Elephas maximus indicus: one gene and its partners. The main gene of each other region encodes a partner of the protein of the gene in region 3 in a complex. Links are inferred from orthologs where the notes say so. Each region holds a gene or a part of one and is shown on either strand. Other genes may lie near its edges. The genes, in order: BMP2, BMP7 and NOG.

Evidence for each region.
Region 1: the proteins of NOG (region 3) and BMP2 are in contact, whole or in part, in a crystal structure (PDB 7AG0), measured with the Homo sapiens proteins. The link is inferred for Elephas maximus indicus from reciprocal best matches to the Homo sapiens genes NOG and BMP2. Residues at the interface, in NP_005441.1 of Homo sapiens: Ile33, Arg34, Pro35, Ala36, Pro37, Ser38, Asp39, Asn40, Pro42, Leu43, Val44, Asp45, Leu46, Ile47, His49, His199, Arg204, Arg206, Pro219, Ile220, Gln221, Tyr222, Pro223; in NP_001191.1 of Homo sapiens: Trp310, Asp312, Trp313, Val315, Ala316, Pro317, Pro318, Gly319, Tyr320, Ala368, Ile369, Ser370, Met371, Leu372, Tyr373, Lys379, Val380, Val381, Leu382, Lys383, Asn384, Tyr385, Gln386, Met388.
Region 2: the proteins of NOG (region 3) and BMP7 are in contact, whole or in part, in a crystal structure (PDB 1M4U), measured with the Homo sapiens proteins. The link is inferred for Elephas maximus indicus from reciprocal best matches to the Homo sapiens genes NOG and BMP7. Residues at the interface, in NP_005441.1 of Homo sapiens: His29, Tyr30, Leu31, His32, Ile33, Arg34, Pro35, Ala36; in NP_001710.1 of Homo sapiens: Phe365, Pro366, Leu367, Asn368, Ser369, Asn375, Ile378, Val379.

What each region holds. Positions count from the first base shown.
Region 1 is NC_064843.1:45,258,369-45,265,489, reverse strand, and holds the start of BMP2 (bone morphogenetic protein 2), read right to left. Parts: upstream 3,061-7,121; 5' UTR 2,389-3,060; coding exon 2,285-2,388; intron 2,174-2,284; coding exon 1,824-2,173; intron 1-1,823. Other genes in the region: serine/arginine repetitive matrix protein 3-like, read right to left, coding at 3,931-4,839. UniProt on the Homo sapiens protein: Growth factor of the TGF-beta superfamily that plays essential roles in many developmental processes, including cardiogenesis, neurogenesis, and osteogenesis. Induces cartilage and bone formation.
Region 2 is NC_064843.1:11,987,645-11,994,630, forward strand, and holds the start of BMP7 (bone morphogenetic protein 7), read left to right. Parts: upstream 1-3,880; 5' UTR 3,881-4,389; coding exon 4,390-4,807; intron 4,808-6,986. UniProt on the Homo sapiens protein: Growth factor of the TGF-beta superfamily that plays important role in various biological processes, including embryogenesis, hematopoiesis, neurogenesis and skeletal morphogenesis.
Region 3 is NC_064837.1:37,473,458-37,478,859, reverse strand, and holds NOG (noggin), read left to right. Parts: upstream 1-3,938; 5' UTR 3,939-4,065; coding exon 4,066-4,764; 3' UTR 4,765-4,840; downstream 4,841-5,402. UniProt on the Homo sapiens protein: Inhibitor of bone morphogenetic proteins (BMP) signaling which is required for growth and patterning of the neural tube and somite. Essential for cartilage morphogenesis and joint formation.

The DNA of each region.
Region 1 (7,121 bases), on a different chromosome or scaffold from region 3:
CGAGTGACTTAAACGATTTTCCTTTTCCATTATAAGAGGCACACAGAACCTTTCTGGTCTTAAAGATAACGATAAGAAATTTCGGTTTAAGATTTCCATGTTAAATTTCCAGGAAGCAGCTCAACAGCTATTCTTGTTACTTTCCTCTCCAGAAAAAACTCTTCTGATCAGCATCAGCTAGGAAAGATGACTGGATCTATAACAATCCTAGGGCAAGGGTGACAGAACATACACAAATGACAACATTTCTGCACGTGCCAGACTTCTGCTCTCAGTTGGTGAAATGATGAGATCTCATTGCTTTGCAAATCTCTGATTTCTGCTAGCAGAAAGCGCGTCACTTCAAAATGTGTTTGGAAATGAACTGATCATCAACACAGCTGCTTCCTAGAGGGGAGTCCCTGGGTGGTGCACACATTGTGCTCTACTGCTGACCGCAAGGTTGGAGGTTCAAGTCCACCCAGCAACAACTCGGAAGAGAGTTCTGCTGACCTACTTCTGAAAAATTCAGCCATTAAAAACTCCACGGAGCACAGTTCTACGGTGACACACAAGAGGTCACCGTGAGCTGACACTGACTCAATGACAACTGTGCCTTTTTAATGTACAGATGCCTCTACGAAGAAGGAACTTTGTTCTCTGACCTGCCTTTGGGGCTTTTTACCACTGTCCGGAGTATAAGTCATAACTCACGAGGGGAGAAAATGTCTGCCTGTGACATTTCTGATTTGTTTGTATCTGAGTGTAGATTTCCACTTGAAATATACCTCCTCGGTAGGACAAGGTAAGAAAAGGGGAACTTTATTCCCAGCTCCCCCAATATCCTACAAGTGGTTGCTCTGGGATATACAACTCCGTACCCTTTTCTAAAATTTGAAGGAATCCGTGCTCTATTTAGAATTTATCAAACCAGAGAGGCATTTAAAAGTATGGAAAAAGAATTTTTGACTAATTGCCCTAAGAACTTAAGTACGACAACTCTCAATAACTGCTCTAAGACATTTCAGATCCTCTAAATGCCTTTCTGAGGAAAGGTGCAGAAATACCTACCTTAACAAACCACATTCATAATAAAAGGGGAAAAAAAAGGCCACATTTCAATACACACGAAGGAGAACAGGCAGCTGCTGCAAAAGCTTTTATCTGAAAGGCTTGCCTTTCTCTACCCTGAGCCTACCTCCAACTGAAGCAAAAGACAAGAAAGTCATTGTGGAAACAATAAGATTGATTGTGGAATGGATCTCCCACGGGGATTAGATAGAAATTCAAAATCTTCCAAACTAGGCGCACAAAAACTGTAAATTAGAAAGACTCTGGGGCCCTGGGCTTTGATTTTTAATACCATCTCTGAAAATTCTTCCTTTGGCTCTGTCTAGCCTGAAACCCTGGCTTAAACAGGAGAAGCAGACTGATAGAGCCGGGTTTCAAAACAAATTTAAATCCCAATCAGTCTCCCTCTTTTCCCCTATGGAATTCTTGCATGTTTAGCTGGCTAGGGGCAAGCCTTTTGCCCTCATCTTCCCCATCACTTGATTTCCCTCCAGTTCCTGGGGGAGGAGTCGCCCTTCTGGCTGCAATCCAGGAAAAGGGTGCGGATTTACCAAAGGGGAATCCCTGGCTCCCCTCCACACACAGTGCATTAGCAGTGCGTTAAAACTTGGATCTGAAAAGTTACAAAGTTAACAGAGGCAAGAGTGGAAACGTCTGCTGCGCCCTGGCCAAGCTGTCCCTCCAGGAATGTCTGCAGTCTGCCCTGCAGTGAGGGGCTTTGCAGGGTGACTCCCGCCCCGGTCCCCGCTCTCACCCCCTGTTCCAAGCCTCACCTTCGTGGTGGAAGCTGCGCACCGTGTTGGCGCGGCTGGCTGCCTTTTCCAGCCGCTGGTCCGGGGTGCGCGCGCCCGGCTGGCCTGAGTGCCGGCGGTACAAGTCCAGCATGTAGGGGGGCACCACGGCGTCCCTGCTGGGGGTGGGTCTCTGCTTCAGGCCGAACATACTGAGCAGCCGCAACTCGAACTCGCTCAGGACGTCGTCCGAGGGCTGGGATGAGGAACGGCCCCACGCCGCCGCGAACTTCCTGCGGGCCAGCTCAGGAATGAGGCCGGCCGCGCCGCCCAGGAGGACCTGGGGAAGCAGCAACGCTAGAAGACAGCGGGTCCCGGCCACCATGGTCGACCTGCGGACAGGACCGACGTGAGTCACCGAGTTCCCCGCCCAACCCTCTCCCTCACTCCCGCTGCCCTGGCTCCCCGCTCGACCCGGCTGCCTCTTTCTCCAGGGTGCCCACCTGGCTTGCAACACTCGCCGGGCTTTGTCAGAGGGGCTGAAGCGCGGACGTTTGAGGGAATGGAGCGTCCCTAGTTCCTGAGCCAGATGCCTTACTCCTCCCATTCCACTCTCAATCCAGCTGTCATCTGATTTGAGATTTTGCTCCCCTCTTTATGGCGACACCCGCATTGACAGCCGGCACAGGGAACCTGAGGAAACCACCCCTTGGTCTGCCACCCTGTACCTACTAAACGATCCCAAACACAGCCCAGCGCTCGCTTGCTTATAAACACGAACAAATGCTGCATGTGACTTCCTTAGAGGCACTGTATACAACTTCCTGATACACAGTCTATAACTTCTAGACCCTGTACATTCAAGGCCAAGACTTTCGAACGCCGCTTGAAACTTATGGCCCACGCCCCTAGCCTCAGGGTGTCAGGACAAACGACCTCAAGCCCCGCACACCCTTAGTGCAGTCAAGACACACAGGCCATCTCCCTGGGATTACGTAAAGGGCTAATATCTATTACTTCACGTGTCAGATGTTGAAAATGCAGTACAAGGAGGCACCGAAGTACTGCCCCCCTCGCTTTCCGGAAAGAAACAGGGAGAACCCCCAGCTTCCACTGCTTTCCTAAATGGGACGTGGCTCCCAGTAGAGAGATCTCTCGGAAAAACTTGGAGAAGGGAGAAGGAATCATCATGGCAGGGCGTACAGGTTGGCAGCTAACGGGTGAAACCCAGGGGCCAGTCTAAGGGATTTCTTTTCTTTCTTTTTTTTTTTTAATCATCTTAGCGTTAACAGCCCTAATTATACACCGAACAGAAAGGAGAAACGAGGGGCGGAAGAGAGCGGGTCACGCAGGCAACGCTGGATGGTCGCCAGAAGCGGTTGGATTGGAGCACCCCCGGCAGGGGTTCGGCTGCACGTGGACCTGAAGGGGGTCTGTTTATGTCCGGTCTAGTCCGGCCTGGGGAGGCGCTCAGCCGCGGCGGCCCCGCGCCCAGCCCCGCGCCCACCCCCCGTCCTCCGCCCGGGACCGCGTCCTCTACCTTTAGGAGACCGCAGACCGTCTAAGAAGCACGCGGGGGCACGTCCATTGAAAGAGCCTCCACATGGAAAAAACTCTGGCCAAAGAACCTGGCGCGGGGGTCGGGTGTCCGCTCCCTTCCTTTGCCTCCTCCTCCCGGGCGCCGGCCGGTCAGTCTCCCTCCCCGCGCTGGGAACGGCGTCTAGAGGTCCGGCCCGGCAGAAGAGTGGAGCGGCGGCGGGGCTCGGAGGCGACAAGGCCGTCCCCGCTGGGGCAGAGGCACCGGCGAAGTGGGGAGCGCAAATTATTCTGCCTGCAAGTTCAAGAAGTCTCCAGCCAAGTGCTGACACACAACAACAGCGAGCAGGGGGAGGAGTGCGGGGCAAGGAAGGGAAGGGAGAAGTGAAAAGCTGGTGCTGTTGTCGTCCTTAGGAATCAGCGCCCGCAGGACGCGTGGCCCCGCGCGGGGCCGACTCCGGGACGCGGGGGAGGAGTGTCGGGCGCTCCTCGCTAGCTCCGCCGCGGCCCATGACTCGGGGCAGCCATCCTGGTCGACGCCGGGTCCGGGGAGGGGCGCAGCGGCAGCGGCGATCTCGGTGCCAGGCGAGTTGCCCCCCCGCATCACTCTGCCTTACTCCAGCGCACCCCCATTCACGCTCGCCCGCTGAAAACACCACGGCTCCGGCGCCCCGTCGTCCTCGGGCGCATTCTCCGGCGAATCGAGCAGAGTCCCGGGCTGCCGAGGCGGGTGGCTGCGCTCTTTTCTCGCTCTCCTAGCCCCCCGGGCCAAGCTGCCTTGCGCTTTGTGGCCAGCCTGGGGTCTGATCACACCTCGGCCGGCGAGTCCCGGGCCCCCGAACCCCGGCGGGCAGTGCTCGGCATCGCGGCGCTCGAGCTCCGCTCCTGGCTCCCCAGCCTTCTGCGCGCCCGTCCGCGGCTCCGGTGCGGCCCGGACAGCCGAGGCCACGGCACTGTAGCGCGCACGGCCGGGCGCTCCAGCCCGCGCGGGCTCTGCGGCGCGGGGATGCCTCCGAGCACCCAGTGATCCTCGCGGCGCACGTCCCCGAAGGCGTTCGGATCGGCTGCGGCGGCTGATGTCCGGCGGTGGCGGCCAATCCCCGGCGGGGTGTGGGAAGCCGAGCGGCGGGCGCAGCGCGAGCCGGGCGCAGCGCGGCGCGGCTGGGCGAGGACTCCGGCGGCGGCGGCGGCGGCGGCGGCGCCGTGGCGCGGCGCTCGCGGCTTTTAAAGGACGCCGCCTGCCGGCTCCCTCCGGGCCGCGGCCGAACACCTCCCCCCTCGGCTGCGCTGGCTGGGGATCCCCGAGCGGGCGGGAGCAGCGCACAGGGGTGTGGACGGCGCGCCGGGGCAGCCGCGGCGGGGTGGGGCCGAGGGCGGAGGCAGCGCGGCCGCCGAGGGGGGCGCGTGCGCCTCCACTCCCCGCCCTCAGAGGGGAAAGGAACGGGAACGCTGGGCCCTCGCGGAGACTCCGAGGGCGAAATGCTCGAGCCCCTGGTTCTCTCCCACGGGGCCCGTTATTCAACTTTAAATTTGAAGTTTTTCGGTAATAGGCGATTAAAAAAACAACAGCAACAACCAAAACTCAGCCAAGTTACAGGGCATCTTGGCATAGGCATGGCATAGACACTTCAGTGTTGCCTGGGAGTGAGCGAGCGTGTGTGTGTGTGTGTGTGTGTGTGTCTGTGTGTGTTTGTGGGGGAGGGGAGAGGCTGGAAACTGTTATTTAAACCTTAACACGCACGGAAATATATGTATTTACATATGTAAATGTGTGCGTACACGTTTTATTTTATATAAACATTTATATTTATATAAATGTACACCTCTTTATATTCGTATAGGTATGCAAAATATAGATACATGCCCATATGCTTATATATATTCTAATATGTAAACATACGCAAAAGCGGCGTTTCTATAAATTAGTCTATGTATGTGAAATGGGTGTCACCCTGCTATATATGACAAGTGCAACTTGGGCTGTGTGTATGGCGGCTTGAAGAGCGGATGAGAAGGATTTTATTTCTTTTTTATGGTAGCAATCACTTCGTGCTGCGATATTTATCTCGCCCAGCTCAGGGGCCAGCAATTAGAAGCTCAGAGGACAGTAGAATGATGCACAGCGTGAACTAGGCATACAAGACAATTCCGATTTGAGATCTTAGAACCTTCTGCCCCAACATCCCTTCCTCCTCGTCCCCAACAGTCACTTGTCCTCTTCAGCTCAAATATCGCCCAAAAGCAGCTGCTACTTGAGTCTAGGGCCGAGGCTTTAGGTTCCTGCCAGGATTCCAGCACACACGGGTAGCACCACGGATTCCCCAAATGACCCTTGAAGCCAAGGGCCAGAAAATTCTGAAAAAAGGCCTGATCTCCAAAATCAGGTTCATTTACAAGGTAGTCTTCCTGCCTTCCAGCAGAAAGACCAGAGAGAAGTCAGGTGCGGGATCTAAGAGTAATCTGTTATCCATGCGTGTTTTTTTTTTTTTTTTGGTTAGGAAACTAAAATAATTCTAGGTTCCGCTCACATAAATCGGATTAGCAACCCACAGAGGGGGAATTAGGCACTCGTTGTTTCTGAAGGTATAAAGGTCAAGTAAGGTATTTTGGAGGAAGTCGGTTTACTAGGAAAAAAAAAAAAAGAAAAAGAAAAGGGGTGCAAAATATTCAGGAACAAGCTACTTGAAAATAAAGAACTAAAGAAGTTGACTGTCCGCCTGAATCATTTGGAGGTTAAACAAGTAGGCAATAAATTATATTGTACTCAGGGACGCTTAAGTCAAAAAGTGTTTATTGTACTTCTAAAACTATTTCCTTCCCTATTTTTTTTATCAAGCTTAACTGAGAAGTTAACAATTGTTCCTGTCATCAGTGAGATTTAAAAAACAAAACGTATATGAGACTTAGATCAGTACATAGTTTTTAAAGAGTAAAGGAAAGCTGATAGCTGTTGGAAGCACCCCAAGAGAAAAAGAAAAATAAATCTCTGGCGATGACATCGGGATGTCTTGCAGCTTTAGGCCTTTATAGCATCAGAAATGGAAACTTTGTTTACAGAATAATCCTCCATAGTCAAGAATCTGAGGTAAAATTGGCACTTCTGAATACTCTATTCCATTTTAGTATTGCCCATCGCAGGATCTCTTTTTACGAGGCAGGCTGCTGAATGCCTTTGTCCTAGCACAGCTCCCTAAATTTCTCCTAAGAGTAAGGCTCTATTTGTTTTTTAGAGATGGCTGCCCTCTTGTGGTGGAAATGAGTCAGAGCGCTTGGGTGAAAGAAATCAATGAATGAATGAATGAATGAATGGTCTCCAAAGACTGACTTGCAGTGCAATGTACAGGATGACCATACCTACCAGTTTTCCTATTCGAGGACACAACAATACTTAAAAACGACGAATCTAGTTGGAGATATCTACCTGTTTTATTCTGTTTATTTAGTAGCCACCCTCCACCTGCAACTCAGAATACTGTCATTTTGTGGTGACTGTTTGCTTTGAAAATATCACTTCAGCTAAGAAGGTAAGATTCATTCTATCTAGGTTTATCAGATTCTGTGTATCTGTAGCAGATAGAGGTTGTAGAGGTTGGGACTGGGGTAGAAGTGATTTATTACTGTAGTTGTTGTTAGGTGCCAAGCAGTCGATTCTGACTCATAGCAATGTACAACAGAATGAAACACTGCCCGGTCCTGCACCATCCTCACAATCGTTGCTATATTTGATCCTATTGCTTCATCCACTGTGTCAACCCATCTCCTTGTGGTCTTCCTCTTTTTCACTGACCCTCTACTTTAACAAGC
Region 2 (6,986 bases), on a different chromosome or scaffold from region 3:
GTGCACTGGCTGGTCCCTCTGCCTGGAATGCCTGTCCCTCACTCAGGTCAATGACATCTGGGTCATTTAGTTTTTTCCGCCATCAGTACTCCTCTGACTTCCTCGTGGGGCCTGTCTGCCTCTCCTCTCACTCCAAGCCTTAATGAAGGTTCCTGGTCTGTCCCCTCACCTGAAAGCCATCTTCTTGATGGGGACCACTTCCTGGCCCACTCACGGCTCTATGCCTGGGTCCAATGCTGTCCCTGACACCAGGATGGCCACATAATTTGAGGGGTTCATGCAAAATGAAAATGAGGGACCCCTTGTTCATAGATGATCAGGAATGTCACGCAACAGCATTAAACTAATTGTATGGTTCACAGGTGGCCACCCTGTGGAGCCGCCCCCACCTGACACTCAGGAAGCACCCAACACACACTGAAGGAGTGAGTGGATACTGGCCAGTGGGCAGAGGCCCAGCCCGGGGAGGGGCCCAGGACCTGGCCTCTGTGGTAGTGGCCGTCTGGCCGGCTGGTGTCCACATGAATGACTAGGACCTTTGGTGAATAATAGCCGATCTAAGGCAAATTTCCAAGATGTGGAGATAACTCATATCTCCACCTCCCACTTCATTCTTTGGCCACCAGCCACCCACATGGCACTTTCAGACTGTAACCACCCAGAAGGGGGTCTCCACAAGTTAGAACTCTGTCCATCCAGCCCTTGCCAAATAGGCAAACGCCAGCCTCTCTGCTGGCTCTCACTGTCCGCAGTGGGTTTGATAATTCCCTAGAATGACTCGAAGAAACTATTACCTGTACTTACAGTTACCCCTTTATCATAGTGAGAAAGGCTACAAAGCGTTGCGATGTATCAGGCAAGGTCTGGGCGAGGCGTGGGCTGGAGGCTCTATTGTCCCCATGGACGTGCTGTGCCCTCTCCCCTGCGGGGATGCTCTTACCAATCCCAAAAGCCCCAAAGAGAGCACTGGAAGGACCAGAGTCCCCTAGTCATTGGGATCTCAGTGAATATGCATGACTGGAGCCTTGATGTGTTGTAGGTCCCGTCAAGTTGGTTCTGACTCACAGTGACCCCATGTACCACAGAGCGAAATGCTGCCTGGTCCTGCACTGTCCTCATAATCGTTCTGTTTGAGCCCACCGTTGTAGCCACTGTGTCAACCCATCTCCTGGAGGGTCTTCCTTCTTTTCACTGACTTTACCAAGCACCATGTCCGTCTCCAGGGACTGGTCCCTCCTGATAACATGTTCAAAGTATGTGAGATGAAGTCTTGCCATCTTCACTTCTGAGAGCACTTTGGCTATACTTCTTCCAAGACAGACTTGTTTGTTCTTTTCGCAGTCCATGGTATATTCAATATTCTTTGCCAACATCATAATTCAAAGGCTTCCGTTCTTCTTCCGTCTTCCTTATTCATTGTTCAGCTTTTGCATGCGTATGAGGCGATTGAAAATATCATGGCTTGGGTCAGACGCACCTTAGTCCTCAAAGTGACATCTGTGCTTTTTTAACACTTTGAAGAGGCCGTTTGCAGCAGATTTGCCCAATGCAATATGTCATTTGATTTCTTGACTGCTGCTTCCGTGGGCGTTGACTGTGGATCCAAGTAAAATGAAACACCAAGCATGAGGTCCTCTTCCTGGTGGTGGTCCCTCCTGATAACACGTCCGAAGTAAGTGAGACCAATCAGACCCTGCCATTCTAGTTTCTAAGGAGTCTTAATGCAGAGTTAGGGTAGAGCCAATCCATGAATACACTTGCAGTCAAGGGGTGACCTGTGTAGCCCCCTATTTATATATACTTATTTAAGTTTGGCCTGGCTGTTTCAGAAGGACAAAGGGCACCTTTGTTACTCAGGTTATTTTAAAAAACCAGAGGCAAAAAGCCAAATGAAGTTCTTTGTCCCACAGATCTGCAGGCTTGCATATCTCTTCTCCTGGCTGGGCCTCTCCTCTCTCCACCCATGTGACCCCTTAGGCTGCCATCTTGTCCAAAAGCCCCCAGAGACCCAGAGGGCTGCATGGCAGATCTGCTCTGCTCAGGAGAACTGGAGAAAACCTGGCTCCTGGGAGTGTCTCTCACCAGCCCTCCTGCCTCAGGAAGGACCAGCCTGGTGGCTTTCTCCAGCCCTTCAGGGGGGTCAGCTAGGCCCCTAGCAGAAGCCTCCTTCCCCAAACTCAGCCTAAACTTTGTCTGGGTTCCCTGGTGACCCTCCACCTACCCTTGTATGGGAATCAGTGGTTTGTTTGTTGGCCTCCTTGGGACAGCCCTTGGGGGGGGGCATGGTCCTCACTGCCACTGGGACAGCCCCTGGCGGGGGGCATGGTCCTTACTGCCACTCTGAGTAAGGGGTTATTTTGCACCCATTTTAAAGATAAGGAAACCGAGGCTCCAAAGTGTAGTGATCACTGAAGTTCCCTCAGCTGGCAGAGGGGACCCGTAGGCTGTAGTGGTCTGGGGGCAGCGGTCAGCCGGGCACACCATGGGCAGCTTAGTAATATTTGTGGAAGGAAGAGTGAGAGGCAGGAGAAGGACAGAGGCAGAGTAGCGGGCGGGTGAGGTAAACTGCAACAGTAATTCCAGACAGCCAGAGAGCTCAAGAAAATAAAACGAGTGCGTGGGGGTGAGGAGGGAGGCAGCCTTAGCTTTGCTGGCTTGGGAAGGTCTCTGGGAGGCAGTGGCCGCTGAATAGGGACCTGGTGGTGGAGAGTCTTCTACCTGGGGAGAGACTGAGGGCATTGGTGTTGGGGAAGAGTTTCTAAAAACAAAACCTGCTCTCAACTTAGAAAGCCTCTGCACAACAATGGAAGAGACAGAAGAGTTTTATTCTTGAATAAGCACTGAACCCAAATGGGATGCATCACAGGCAATCAGTCCAGGAGAGAAATTGCCAAGACAAAGGAATCCGAGGCTTTAGAGAACTGAGTGGATACAGCCCATTACATTCACGTTAAAGATAAAATTGCTAATTTTCCAGTGTCTTCGTGGCAGGACACCTAAAGTTATGTTAATCTCCTTCCAGGAAACTGGGAGGGAGGGGTGTGAACTTCCTTGATGATTACATTTCAAAAGATGTCTCCCAGGTCCTTGAGAAACATTTTTTTTTTTTAATTTTTAATTGTGCTTTAAGTGAAAGTTTACAAATCAAGTCAGTCTCTCATACAAAAATTTATATACACCTTGCTATGTACTCCTAATTGCTCTCCCCCTAGAGAAACTTATTTGATTTACATACTTTTCGGAAAGACAAAGATCCAACCATTACGAGTTATCTAAAGTGAATTCTGCAAGAACAGGGGAGCCTGGTCCCCTGTCTTCTGCAGAGAATGAAAACCTCCTATTTTCAGTTTGTATTTATTTGTCCTTACAGAGGGCGGGGGCGAGGGTCAGGGGGAGTTTCAGGTGGCCAAAGTTAAGCTGTGGACAAGTCTGGGGGGGTGCGGCGGGTCCGCGTGGTTGGAGTGAGGAAAGCCAGCGAGTGTGTCGGAGGGGGGCAAACGGACGAGTCGGGCTCAGGGGCACCTCCTCTGAGAAGTCCTCTCCGATTCCCGCGCTTCCTCCACGCCCCTCCCGCCGCTCAGCTTCTGCCCCCGCTGCCCAGATCCTTGGGTCCGGCTGAGGTCTCCTTCCCTGTTCGGACTACGAGCCCCGAGAGGGCAGGGCCGGGTGGGCGTCTTTCCTCCCCAGGCCGGCGGCGTCTGGCCTGGCGCTGGGCACCCTGTGGGCACTTGGTCAATATTTGTCGAGCGCGCTGGAAGGGTTGAATGAATCCATTGGGCGCAGCAGGGGGGAGGGCGGGGCCGAGGCAGGTGGGAGGCCGCCGGCGCGGGAGGGGCCCCTGGAAGCCCGCCCTCCTCCTCCTCCTCCTCCTCCCAGGCCCCAGCGCGTTCGCTCTGGGGCTCCCGAGGCGTCTTCTCGTGCGATCAGGGGCGCGCAGGGCGGGGAGAGAGATCCTGGGGCCCTGCTCTCGGCGCCGGAGGTCGAAAGCGGGTGGGTCGCTGTCGCCGGATTGGAGAGCGCTCTCGAAAGGAGTGGGAGGAAGGAGCGCCCGCCCGCCGCCTCCCCAGCGCTCGCTCTCCAGGCTCGGAGGTTTGCGGCTGCTCCTCCCACCCGCGCCAGGCTCCTCGCTCGCTGGAGCGGGTCTCCAAGCCCCGCCGTGCGCCCAAGCGAGTGCAGGGCTAGGGGCCCCGGAGCCAGCCCGAGTCGGGGTGGGGGTCCGGGCAGCGCACAGCCGGCCGGGGAGGGGCCATGTCCGGCGCGGGTGCAGCGGGGCCCATCTGCAGCAAGTGACTGAGCGTCGTGGACGCCGCTGCCCCCCTCCGCCACCTGGGGCGGCGCGGGCCCAGGTGCCCGGAGCCCAGTGCCCTGGCCGCGCGGAGAGCCGGCGCGATGCACGTGCGCTCGCTGCGCGCCGCGGCGCCCTCCAGCTTCGTGGCGCTCTGGGTGCCCCTGCTCCTGCTGCGCGCCGCCCTGGCCGACTTCAGCCTGGACAACGAGGTGCACTCGAGCTTCATCCACCGGCGCCTCCGCAGCCAGGAGCGGCGGGAGATGCAGCGCGAGATCCTCTCCATCTTGGGCTTGCCCCACCGCCCGCGCCCCCACCTCCAGGGCAAGCACAACTCGGCGCCCATGTTCATGTTGGACCTGTACAATGCCATGGCGGTGGAGGAGGGCGGCGGGTCCGACAGCCAGGGTTTCTCCTACCCCTACAAGGCAGTCTTCAGCACCCAGGGCCCCCCTCTGGCCAGCCTGCAAGATAGCCACTTCCTTACTGACGCCGACATGGTCATGAGCTTCGTCAACCTCGGTGAGTGCGGGCAGGAGGAAGGGGGAGCACGCCTCGGCTGGGGGGCGCCTTGCAACAGGGAGGGGGGTGACTTTTTACATCTAGCCTCCCACCTTTCCGCTCGGCGGGTTTCACAGCGGTCAGTGCCTGGCTGAGAGTCTTCTACCTCCGGCCCTAGTGGAGCCCAAACTGTGCTCGCCCCCAGGTAGTGTGAGGCAGGCTCAGCTGGCCTGTGGATGTTATTGAAAGTGTAGAGACCCGCCCGAAGCCCCCTTCTGGTTACGCCGCCGGACGCACCTCTGGGGCAGCAGGCGCCGGCCCTGGTCGCGGCTGAGTTCAAAGCGCGGGGCTCGGTCATGTGAGCTGTCCCTGGCCGGCTCGGCGCTCGCTACCTGGATTTAAAGGGCCCTTCTTGGAGAAGCTGCCTTCCCGCCCGCCCTCGGCCCCGCGCACCCTGCCTGGCCCTGGCCTCCGGTGCAGCGCGACCCGTTCCCCGCTCTGGCAAGCCCTACCTGTCCCTTCGCGGTGCGCCCGCCTTCCCGTGCCGCGCGCCTGGGGAGCCTGGGGGCCTCTCCCCGCCGCCGGCGCCCCCCTCTCTTGGTCTTCCTGCCGGAGCCAGGGAAGAAACGTTGCCATTGCGAACTTTCTATTTTAAATATTTAATGATAGGTCCCGGGCAGGCAGAATCCATTTTCAGCGTTTATCACGTGTGGCGCTCAAACCACCGGTTTTGGCGATTGGGCGGCGCGGGATCTCGGAACAGACGCCGCTGGGGGCGGCGGGGGGACAGGGCTCCCGATGAAGCCTCTCCTGTCCGGGGAACGAGGTGGGGCTGCGGCGGTGCCCCGCGGCGCCCTCCATGGCATCCCCGCATGATTACCAAACTCGCTCAGACTAATCCCGGGCCGCGCGCTGTAGGACCGATGATCAAATATTTGGTTTCCGAGATAACACAGCCCGATAGCGCTGTTTCCTGAGCCGCTTTCATTCTACCTGTGTAACTTGCAGGGAAAATCCGAGCAGAGTCAAGACAGCAAACTTCCGCCCACCGGCGCAGTGTCAACTTGGAAATAATGACCCTAAATCCCCACGCCGGCCACCTGGGGAGTGGACGGGGGCGGGGAAGTGGGGATCCGCGTGAGGGCTTCCCGCCTCTGATAAGGTCGGCGGAGTCCAGGGGACGCCATTGTCCACCCTAAATGATAGCCCAACTCACATAGCGAAATGCGCTTCAGCGAGCAAGGAGTGGGAGGTTTAGATGGCAAAATAACATTTAAAAAGTTGAAGTTATACGAGGCAGCCTGTTGAGAACGAGGCAGCTCCTTATGCCCTGATTGGAACAATCTCTAAGATGTACGGGGTGGAAACAAGCCAGGTCCAGATCAGTGAGCCTACATACATGTTTGTATATCGTCCATGTTCTAGCAGAAGACTCCGTGAACTGGAAATAAATTTTACGGGGGGGGGGGGGGAGGGGAGGGGCAGAACTGGGACTGGGACATAAGGGGGGGAGTCGGGTTTTTCAATGTCCTCACTTTTGCCTGTGACTTTTTTCTTGCCGTGTGTGTTTATTGTCTGTACCAAAAACTAAAAAACAATTCTAAAAATAAGAATAAACGGAAGTGGCACTCTATAGCAGTACTGATTCCCGGGTTAACCAGGGCCTTCTCTCTGGCTGGGATTTATGGCATCTGCTGTTGGGTTGGGTATCCGGGACTCCCAATGCTGCAGGTCCCAGCTGCCGCCTTCAGAGATCAGCCGGGGTCATTACAAAGGCATTTGGGAGCCCTGGCTTCTGTAGAGGGCTCTGCAAACCCATGCAAAAAGCTCTAATGCTTAGTGACTGGCAACTCGGCCAGATCCTGGGGCCCCCCCACCCCAGGGGAGGAGCGGTTTGCTCACTGGATGCCTTTGGGAACTGGGGGCAGGGCTGTTTGCTCCCGTGGGTGGTGGGAGCAAGCCAGGACTCGCCTGGGAAGGCCACAGCTGGGTGGTTTTCCTTCTGGCTGTGCACACACCTTTCAACCCCGCTAGTCCCATTTCTTTCATCTTGAAAGGACAAAGACCGGCTTGTCTGAGCCTCTCAATCAGCTGGGCTGGCTTTGGGCTTTGTGGGACAGCCTTGCCTAAATTTCTCAGGTCTAGCTTTCTGGAACATCGCTCCAAATTAGATGGTGGAGTGGCTTTAACAGGGCGCTCT
Region 3 (5,402 bases):
CAATTGCCCCATAGGGTTTCCTAGGCTGTAATCTTTATGGAACATCATGGTAAACAGTGAAAATATTGAAGTTGCCATGGATTTCATTTTACTTGAATCCACAATCAACACCCGTGGATGCTGCAGTCAAGAAATCAAAAGACATACTACGTTGGGCAAATCTGCTGCAAAAGGCCTCTTTAAAGTTTTAAAAAGCAAAGATGTCACTTGAAGGACTAAGATGCACCTAACCCAAGCCATGGTATTTTGAAGCATCTCGTATGAACATGAAAGCTGGACAATGAATAAGGAAGACCGAAGAAGAACTGATGCCTTTGAATTGTGGTGTTGGTGAAGAATATTGAATATACCATGGACTGCCAGAAGAACAAAAAAAATCTGTCCTGGAGGAAGTACAGCCAGAATGCTCTTCAGACATGAGGTTGGAGAGACCTTGTCTCACATACTCTGGACATGTTATTAGGAGGGATCAGTCACTGGAGAAGGACATCATGCTTGGTAAAGGAAAGGATCAGCAAGAAAGAGGAAGACCCTCGATGGACTGACACAGTAGTTCCAACAATGGACTCAAGCATAGCAATGACTGTAGGCTGGCATATGACCTGGTAGTGTTTTCCTCTGTTGTACATAGGGTCTCTATGAGTCAGAACTGTCTCGATGGCACCTAACAAAAACAATAATCTTTATGGGAACAGATGGCCAAGTCTTTTCTCCTGCGGAGCTACCAGCGGGTTTGAAATGCCAGCCTCTCGGTTAGCAGCTGAGCACTTAACCGTTTGCACCGCCAGGGCTCCTTTCAGTCGAGACTACCCAGCCTAAATAAAGGACAGAGGTCTGGGTTGATTTTCAAACAAAAATAGGTGATTTGAAGAAGACGAAGATTGGTAGAATAGAAAACAGCACAGTTTATGCGCTGGGCTAAAATATAGTCTTTGAACTCTTCACTGAAAAATTATTTTTTTAATTTATAGCATCAATATCTTCATAAGAAATCAAAATAGTGCTAAGCATCCATTTAAAACAAACAAATTCATTGCTGTCAAGTGAATTCCAACTCATAGCGACCCTTTATGACAAAGCAGAACTGCCTCCTAGGGTTTCCAAGGAGAGGTGGATTCAAACTGCCACCTTTCGGTTAGCACCTGAAGCTCTTACCCACTGCACCACCAGGACTCCAAGCCTCCATAAAGTGCATGGAAAATAAAGGAGTGTCGTTCAAGCAACCTACTATGTGCCAGGATCCAGGCACATATTATTTCATAATCAGCCCAATTCAAACAACGAATGGGTCGTTCTTATCTACAGTATTCATCAAAGCAAGATTTTCTTTTTGGGTGGTAGGTACCTCGGTAGCCTAAATCTAGTTGTTGTCTAGACTTGAAAGTTTAAGGAAGTGTTCTTGCTGAGGGATTTCCAAGTACTGGGATTTTGCATATAGACTGTGCCATAACCCAAGTACATCTTCTTCATTGTTGTCAGCTGTCACTGAGTTGGCCTTGGGCTCAAGGGGACCCCATGCACAACGGAAGGAAACGTTGCCTGGTCACTTAGCCTTTAGTCTGGAGGCGCCACTGCAACCTGTTCAGCATCACAGCAGCCCACAAGCCGCCACTGACAGATGAGGTGCCTTGGCCAGGAATCGAACCCAGGTCTCACATGGAAGGGGAGAACCTCCCGCTGAACCACAGACACCACTTCCTTAGGAGATGGTAAAGTTCTGTGTGTATTTGAGGGGAGGGCAGAGCAGACTGAAAGGAAAAATCAGATCACTGGAGAAAGAAAGTGGAGTAATGTAGACTGTCACAAAGGGATCTCCTGAGTCTCACTCAGCCGAATAGTAGTGGATGCCTGAGTCATTCACTCCAAGTCTCTTCAAGGGCTTTTTCCAATTCTGATCCACAAAGGAGTTTGGATTTCAGAGAGAAACTCAACCAGAGGTGTCATTTCAGCACCCATCTTCCACCAAAGAGAACATTTCTGAAAAAGAAAGCCTCATATAGGTTTATTCAGAATCAGAGCAAGGTAGGGCTGGAAAAGGTAATGTAGCTATGTCACTAGTGCAGAAACTAAGATCTGTAGAAGAAAAGGCACCGGTCCAGGGTTAACATGGTTATGTCAGGCTGGACTCAAGCCCCCTACTGTCCGTTCATCTGTCAAGTTTCTGCTCCCCAGTCTTCACCACTGAGGCCGGTTTAGCGGAGAAAGTGGGCACCTATGCATGTGAAATTTGAAGGGCATGGAGAGGAATCTCAGGAAGTTTGTTTACACTGAGGGTTTGGAGAGAGTCCAGAGAACAGCCAGAACCTGAACGGACCCTTCGACACACGCAGACATTCAAAGACACGAGATGACACGGACACAGAAACAACGCGACCTGGGCAGAATGGGCCACGGACAAACCCACCACCTCACAGTGCCGCCCCTCCTATCACCGGGTGCAGGGCTTGCCATGGGCCAGCAGAGGGCGCGCCGCCCCCAGGGAGCCGAGAGGCTGCCGCACGGAGCCGAGCGGGCTAGGGGAGCAGCAGACAAGCCGGACGCGCCCCTACGGCTCCGCCACTCAGGGCGCAGGACCCGGCCAAGAAGGAGGAGGAGGGTGAGGAGCGGACCCCCCTCGTGGGCCCGGGGGGCAGACGAGCCGGAGTGCTTCCTAGGAATTACATCACACAGCGCAGCGCTGCGGCTCGCGGACTCTCGGGGCGCACAGTTTGTGCGGGGGGAGCGGGGGCAAGGGTGAGGGACAGAGGACCCACAGTGTGTGTGTGTGTGTGTGTGTGTGGTGTGTGTGTGTGTGTGTGTGTGTGTGTGTTGGGGGAAGGGACTGAGACCGAGCCCGGGAGAGAGGAAGACGAGACGCGCCCGGGGAAAACGCTCCATGCACATGGAGAAATCCCTTCCTCCAAACTGCACCGAGAAAGGAGCCCCCGGCACTTCCCCGCTGCTCCCCTCCCAGTGCAAAGCACCCAGCTAGTGAGCAACCCCCGCCCCACCTCAAGCACCCCCCAAAGCCGGCCCTGCACCCTCCAGCCGGGCTCCAGCGCCGCCGCGAGCTCTCCCCAGGACTGGCTCTGGCGGGGCGCCTAGAGCCCCAGTTGCATTGCTCCAGGAGAAAGGAGGGGGGCGGTGCATTTTGCAGGAGGAGAAGGAGGAGAAGGGGGGTGGGTGGTGGGGGTGAGAGAAAATTGCGCGGAGACCTGCCAAGCGCCACCGCCGCCGCCACCGCCGCCGCCGCCGCCGCCTGTGAGCTCGGGCGGGCAGCCGGACTGTCGGCTTCCCGGGGCATCTGGGTCCGGCGGGGCACAGCCCTGGGCGCTGCCGAAGCCGCCGCCGCCGCCGCCTCCGCGGCGAGTGCAGGCGGCTTCCCCGGGAGCCTGCGCTGCTCCAGCTCCTTGGGGGTGGAGAAGTGGGGGGTGGGGTTGTTGTTTGGGGGGAAGAAGGGGGAGGGGGCAACGCCGAGAGAGTCAGTGGTTTCCATGGTGATGGAGCTGAAAGTGCAGGAAATTTAAAGGCTTGGACCCTGCGAGACAGACAAACCGGTGCCAACGTGCGCGGACGCCGCCGCCGCCGTCGCCGCCGCCGCTGGAGTCCGCCGGGCAGAGCCGGCCGCGGAGCCCGGAGCAGGCGGAGGGGAGTGCCCCCGGGACCCGCTCGGCCAGCGGCGCTGCAGAGAGCGGCAGGACCAGGAGCAGGAGGAGGAGGAGGAGGGGAGACGGCTCGTCCACGCGCCTTGCGCCGCCGCCGGCCCGGGAAGGCAGCGAGGAGCCGGCGCCCCCCGCGCCCCGCGGTCTCCCTGGAGTAATTTCAGATGCCCCGCCGCGGCCGCCTTCCCGAATAGACCTGGGAGAGGAGTTGCAGCCAACTTGTGTGCCTTTTTTCTGCGCCGGTGGGAGCCGGCTCGGAGCGAAGGTCTCTCCCCGCGGCTCATGCTGCCGGCCCTGCGCCTGCCCAGCCTAGGGTGAGCCGCCTCGGGAGAGCCCGGGGAGCGCGGCGGCGGCGCCGCGGGCTCGGCGTGCTCTCCTCCGGGGACGCGGGACGAAGTAGCAGCCCCGGGCGCACGCCGGAGGCATGGAGCGCTGCCCCAGCCTGGGGGTCACCCTCTACGCCCTGGTGGTGGTCCTGGGGCTGCGGGCGGCACCGGCCGGCGGCCAGCACTACCTCCACATCCGCCCAGCTCCCAGCGACAACCTGCCCCTGGTGGACCTCATCGAACACCCGGACCCTATCTTTGACCCCAAGGAGAAGGATCTGAACGAGACGCTGCTGCGCTCGCTGCTCGGGGGCCACTACGACCCGGGCTTCATGGCCACCTCGCCCCCCGAGGACCGGCCCGGCGGGGGCGGGGGGGTGGCCGGTGGCGCCGAGGACCTGGCGGAGCTGGACCAGCTGCTGCGGCAGCGGCCGTCCGGGGCCATGCCGAGCGAGATCAAAGGGCTGGAGTTCTCCGAGGGCTTGGCCCCGGGCAAGAAGCAACGCCTAAGCAAGAAGCTGCGGAGGAAGCTACAGATGTGGCTGTGGTCGCAGACCTTCTGCCCCGTGCTGTACGCGTGGAACGACCTGGGCAGCCGCTTCTGGCCGCGCTACGTGAAGGTGGGCAGCTGCTTCAGCAAGCGCTCGTGCTCCGTGCCCGAGGGCATGGTGTGCAAGCCGTCCAAGTCTGTGCACCTCACGGTGCTGCGGTGGCGCTGTCAGCGGCGCGGGGGCCAGCGATGCGGCTGGATTCCCATCCAGTACCCCATCATTTCCGAGTGCAAGTGCTCGTGCTAGAACTCGGGGGCCCCCTGCCCGCACCCAGACACTTGATTGACCCCCACCGACGCCCCCAGCCACCGCCTCCAACCAGTTCCACCACCCTTGAGAGTGGATTCAATGAACTTTTTTTTTTTTTTTTTTTTGGCTACAGAGACCTAGCTTTCTGGTTCATGTAATGCACTGTTTAACTGTGTAGGAATGTATATGTGTGTGTATATACGGTCCCAGTTTTAATTTACTTATTAAAAGGTCAGTATTATACGTTAAAGTTACCGGCTTCTACTGTATTTTTTAAAAAATAAGCAAAAGAAAAAAAAAGAACAGATAAAAGAGAGACTTATTCTGGTTGTTGCTAATAATGTTAACCTGCTATTTATATTCCAGTGCCCTTCGCATGGCGAAGCAGGGGGGAAAAGTTATTTTTTTCTTAAAGTACAAAGAGAGAGGGGAACTTTTGTAGAAGGACTTTTTAAAAGCTATTTTCCATTCTTTGGAAAGTGTTCTGGTTTTCCTTGGACCTCGAAGAAGCTATAGAGTTCAATGTTATTTTACAGTTATTGTAAATATAGAGAACAAATGGAATGACTAATCATTGTAAATTAAGAGTATCTGCTATTTATTCTTTATAATATCCCGTGTAGTAAATGAGAAAG